Mus musculus: one gene and its partner. The protein of the gene in region 1 purifies or fractionates together with the protein of each later gene. This does not show direct contact. Links are inferred from orthologs where the notes say so. Each region holds a gene or a part of one and is shown in the gene's direction. Other genes may lie near its edges.

What was found. The genes of interacting proteins can lie anywhere in the genome.
Region 2: the proteins of Pdhb (region 1) and Pdhx purify together in Homo sapiens (affinity purification with mass spectrometry; 4 studies listed by BioGRID and IntAct, counting the BioPlex papers as one, with this or other methods). This does not show direct contact. The link is inferred for Mus musculus from reciprocal best matches to the Homo sapiens genes PDHB and PDHX.

What each region holds. Positions count from the first base shown.
Region 1 is NC_000080.6:8,165,486-8,167,757, reverse strand, and holds the end of Pdhb (pyruvate dehydrogenase E1 component subunit beta, mitochondrial precursor), read left to right. Parts: intron 1-903; coding exon 904-1,045; intron 1,046-1,276; coding exon 1,277-1,422; 3' UTR 1,423-1,767; downstream 1,768-2,272. UniProt on the Homo sapiens protein: The pyruvate dehydrogenase complex catalyzes the overall conversion of pyruvate to acetyl-CoA and CO(2), and thereby links the glycolytic pathway to the tricarboxylic cycle.
Region 2 is NC_000068.7:103,039,013-103,042,533, reverse strand, and holds part of Pdhx (pyruvate dehydrogenase protein X component, mitochondrial), read left to right. Parts: intron 1-140; coding exon 141-340; intron 341-1,392; coding exon 1,393-1,491; intron 1,492-3,521.

The sequences.
Region 1 (2,272 bases):
CAACACACCCTATATCCAGAAGCTATGAATTGATGCCTGTAATCCCAAGACTCAGAAGATGAGAAGTAGAATCATGGTTTCCAGGCCACCTTGAGTTCTGTCATCAGTCTGTCTCTGCTTACAGCCAAAAGTGGCTGCTGTTCCGCACACAGACTCTGGGTCTCAAGTTAAGACCCAGTCTTGTTAGGCTGGGGAAGTGGCTTAGTGAAGTTGCTCTCAAGCATGGGGAGCCGAGTCCGGATCCCAGCACTCACATAAGAACAATGGCAGGGGTGGGTGGCAGCATGGGCTTGCTACCCAGCACTGCGGAGACCCTGCCAGGAGGATCCCTTGGGCTTGCTAGCTTGGCCAGCCAGTCTAGCCAGCCAGGTCCAGATTCAGTGAGACCATTTCTAAACAAACAAGGAAGAGAGCAATTGAGGAAGAAACTGGAGGTCACCTGTGTGTGTGTGTGTCCAGTCAGAAGATCCAGACTGGCAGCTGGACTTTACTATCCTGTGTATCAAGTAGTGCTTCTTGGGAAGTGTCGCTGTGCTTCGTCGGCTATAAAATGTGGATAATAGGACCTCTCAACCATAGGGGATCATGCTGTAGGCCCAGTGCATATTAAACTCTCAACTATATTTTTGATAAGAGGGATATTGAAACCAAGGAGGATAATGAATTCTATAGGTGAGCAAAGCTTCCTGTGATGGGGTGACAGGCTTTAATTGTAAATTCCCCCTTTACTTTTGTTTGAGATAAGATCTCACTGTGTTGCCAACACAGTGTCATCCTGCCTTAGCCTCCTAAGTGGTGAGCTTACAGGTGTGTGGCACTGTACTGCTTTTCCTTAGTCGATACAGTCGTGTACCTGTTTCTCCGATTCCACAAAGCCTGTTTCCTTGCCTTGTCTTCATTTAGGTAATAAATCTGCGCACCATCAGACCAATGGACATCGAAGCCATAGAAGCCAGTGTGATGAAGACAAATCATCTCGTGACTGTGGAAGGAGGCTGGCCACAATTTGGAGTAGGAGCTGAGATTTGTGCCAGAATTATGGAAGGTATTTCAAAGAACCTGGTTTTAGAACACAATCAAGCTGTACTTGAATGCCGACTTGTAAGAGATCAAAAGCTAGGGGTGACCAAGTGAATTTTCAACTTGTCAGTCTAGGGTTTTGTCTTTTGGGTAAATGTTTTTAAAAGTCAAGCCAAAAGTAGAGTCCTGTAACTACGATTCATTCTCTTCTTGAGTCCCGAGTCTGCCTCTCAGGTGAGCCATCTCTCTTCCTTAGGCCCTGCATTCAACTTCCTTGATGCCCCTGCCGTGCGTGTCACTGGTGCTGATGTCCCTATGCCTTACGCAAAGGTCCTAGAAGACAACTCCGTACCTCAGGTCAAAGACATCATATTTGCAGTAAAGAAGACTCTGAACATCTGATTCGGACTTTGAATGTAAAGTCATTGAAATCTATTTAAAATCCTTGTTGGGACTTCACCTGATGTGTACTGCGAGACTGCTAGTCATAAAGTTAATGCTGAAGTGACAGCAGGTGTCTGAACTGTAAGAAGTTTCAATGTGCTTATGAGTGGAATGTTGTCCACTCCCTACCCTAGATACTCTGCTTTGTCTGTTACTGTTTAAGTTAAATTTGCCCTCTTTCACTGGAAGGGGCAAGATAAGAATGCCCCCACAGAAGGTAACTTATATGTCTAAGAAGTATATTATCTACATTTGCTGTTTAATTGTTTTGATAAGGAATAAAGGGGATTCCCACCAATGAAGTCTTGGAGTACTATTAAGAAATTAGTGTCAAGCTGGGTGGTGGAGGCCCATGCCTTTAGTGCCAGCACTCTGGAGTGAGCCTCAGGAGGCAGAGGCAGGTAGATCTCTGAGTTCAAAGCCAGCATGGAGTACATTGTGAGTTCCAGGATAGCAAGGGCTACCCAGAGAAATCCTGCCTTGAAAAACTACATACATACGTATAGACGTATATTAGTGTCAAATAACTGATATGCTGTATATAAAAACTGTAGATTCTTAGAGTAGTTTTTTAGAGGATTTCAGTGTGTCTTTGGCTGGCCCAGAACTCAGGATCTCACAGATCTACCTGCCTCTGCCTCCAGAGAACTGGCATTAAAGGTGTGTGACACCACACCTGGCCCAAATTGAAGCTTTTTATTTCCAGAGCAATGCTCGTAATAGCCAAGCGCTCTACTACAGAACTCTATTGCTTTTATTCCTATGTCTGAAACTTTGCCCCAAACTGCAGAACTAAAACCAGAAGCAC
Region 2 (3,521 bases), on another chromosome or scaffold:
GGACAGAAGGTGGCAGCTGGAAGAGAAGAGCCCTCTGTCTTCAGTGTCCTTTAGCTCAGGTCTTCCTTGCACCTGTAGACTTAGTGACTTCATGTGACCCTGGGTTTTTCTATCCCAACCATTGTCTTTTTAAAATACAGGTTGAGGAAGGTGCTAAAAATATACAGCTGGGTTCACTCATTGCTTTGATGGTTGAAGAAGGGGAAGATTGGAAACAGGTGGAAATTCCCAAGGATGTCAGTGCTCCACCTCCAGTCTCAAAACCACCAGCTCCTACTCAGCCCTCTCCACAGCCGCAGATTCCTTGTCCCGCCAGGAAGGAGCACAAAGGGACGGCACGGTGAGTGCGTTTATGTGAACATGGACATGATTATTGTGTAAAAAGGGTAATGATTATTTTAGGGTTTGAAATCAGCATCATCCACTTTTCTCTTAGGACACTGAAACATAAGATGATTATTTTACATCCTTCTTCATTTGATAAACAGTGAATACTGGTTTTGTTTGGGCTAGAATCTAAAAGCCTTGCTTGCTCAGTGTAGAATAAAATCATCTGTATCTATGCTGAACCTCAATTAGGTTCTAAAATTGCAGAATGATGTTCATGAGACCAAACTTAATTTTTTGTGTTTAAATGTAAATTCAAGTATCCAGTATATAGTTGATACAAAATGAAAATTTCATTTTAGCGTATGTTCCTATTCAAACAGTTCAGTATTTGAGATTCTGACACGGGTAAAGTTTTTCCAACTGTCCTGTGATAGTACAGGTTCTTGCGACCATTGTCCCTAGTTCACCAGTGCCAGTGTTGCAGATTGGTATCTCTGCACCTGTCTTTTATGTAGGTACTGAAGATCCAAACTCAGTACGCAGGCCCTAGCCCTAATATTACTGTTTACAAAGCATACTGTGCTAGTTTGATCAGAGAGTGCAGTGTATATTGTTGGGATCTGGGTAACCAGAGTGACCTTTTAGCTCCCTGGGCGGCAGCCCGGCATTTCTCATTTCCATGCCGGGCTCCCTGTGTTTTCTCCTCTCTGACTTACGCTGACAGTCAGAAGCCGTCTTACGTGTGTTCTGAACATTTACTCTTTCTAAAGTTATTTAGAATTGGTAACTACTTACTGCTTTATAAAAGTGTTTTGATGATAAAGTAGATTGATACAGATTAGTTTATGTGACTGTGACTATCCTTATATTTTGGGTTATGAGCCTAGCCTTTAACAGCTGAGCCATCTCGACAGCCTGACTGTGGCTCTCCCTGAGACTCATTTTAGCTTCAGTGTTAAGAATTCATTTTCCTAATTATCAGCAAAACTGTAGACATTTAGATCTATTTCAATCAATATAAGGGTTAATTAGTTTCATTCGTCTCCATGTTTTTATTCTTAGGTTCCGCTTAAGTCCAGCTGCCCGCAACATTCTGGAAAAACATTCATTGGACGCCAGCCAGGGCACAGCCACAGGCCCTCGCGGGATCTTCACTAAAGAGTATGTGCGCTGTCTCTTGTGAGGCTTTGCCAGTGCCTGGCAAATACAGAAGTGGATGCTCATCTATTGGATGGAGCACAGGGCTTCCAATGGAGAAGCAAGAGAAAGTATACAAGGAGCTGAAGGGGTCTGCAACCCTATAGGAGGAACAACAATATGAACTAACCAGTACCCCCAGAGCTCATGCCTCTAGTTACATATGTAGCAGAAGATGGCCTAGTTGGCCATCCTTTGAGGAGAGGCCCTTGGACTTGCGAAGATTATATGCCCCAACACAGGGGAATGCCAGGGCCAGGAAGTGGGAGTGGAAGGGTTGGGGAGCAGGGTGTGGGTTGGGGGTATAGGGGACTTTCAGGATTTCATTTGAAATGTAAATAAAGAAAATATCTAATTTAAAAAAAAACAAACAAACAAACCAAAAAAAAAAAAAAAAAAAAAGAGTATGTGCGCTTGCGTAATCCCCAGTCTCTTCACTTACCTTTTCTGAAAGGATTTTTAAATAGCGTATTCTGTGTAGAAATTTAAAACAAGGCACATTGTTCTTTTGTGGGTTTTTAATTGCTTTTGTTAGTGTAAGTTATATTCAATGCAAGGGTCTTCTGAATAATTGCACCATTATTAAGAATTAAATTTAATTAGAGCACCAGGTAGGGAAAGGTACTTGAACTTGTATAAAATCATCACCAGTCACATACATTTCCCAGGTATGGAGATGCACTTTTAAAATAATTTAATTCTTAGCTCTTCAGACTTTTCTTACTTCATTCAGAGGAGTTTCCATTTGCAGTTAATTCTCTTAAGGATTTCCTATTCTCTTTCATTGATCTGCCTGTGAGTTAATACCATTTAAATTATAAGTTTTATAGTATGCTTTAAAGTCTGATAGGCATTGCAGATTTCTCTTGTTTATTTTTCAACAAAGTAGTTTTATTGGTATATCCTTCCTTTAAATCGTAATCAATTCTAGTGTCGGTCTGCAGGTGGCGGAGAACATGGTCATTAATGAGATGCATTGAATTAACTCAGTAAGAACTGATCTGACATCTTTACGTAGGCAAGTCTTTCTAGTCAAGAAATTGGTACATCTTTGTATTTGTTTAAAATGGTCTCTCAACAGTCTATTAAAATAGATGGGCCTTTCTCTAGTGGAATTTAGCCTAATAAAGGTACAACAAAGACCAATCAAATGGGCCTGTAACCACATGTGAGATCCTCATAGCAATGTGTGACTCTAAGTGTGGTTAAATGACTAGAGTGGCTAACTTTTAGAGAGTTAGCTAGAACAAACAGATAGAAAGTGGTGGCTCTGGCCTGGGAAGCTGTTTTTTTCCCTCTGGTTTATATCTTTTTAATCACCTACCAGTCTGTGCCTTAGGTGAACTCTGTAAAAATGGAATAAAACAACTATCTTCATAATAAGATGGATTTGCCCTGTCTGTTATCTGAGGGCTAGGATAAATGTTCTGTTTAATTCATTAACCACTGAAGATTTGAAGAAATGCAAAATAATTATAGCTATACCTGAGAGGGATTAGCTTGGCAAGTCCATGCAGTGTAAATTACAACAGATAATGACCTCTGAGGTAAGGGGATCAGTTGAGGTAAGGCTCATAAAGTAATACAGGTAGGAGCTAATGAATACTGCCCTTAACATGGTTGAAAATCACGCAAGAGACATCTAGAGTGTGTGTCTGGGATCCTGGTCTGGATATAGAAAGTGTTGGCTCCAGAAGTCAAATAAGGTCAAATAAGGAGTTTGAGGAAGCGTTTGCCATAGCAGAGTAACTGATGTCTGCAGCTTTCTTTCACACTGCCGAGCTGTCTGGGAATCAGGACCTGTGTGATGAAGATGAAGGAGAGAGTTTGTATAGGTCATGAAGCAATTATTGTCATTGAGATCAGTGGCAGCTCATCATTTAGGAGACTTGATTTCTGTGTTAGGATGTTGGGAAATGGTCCACAAGTCAAGGAACAGAGGGTCTGAGGAAAGATTCTTGAACTTAGTTACTAGTGCCCCTTTGGAGAACAGC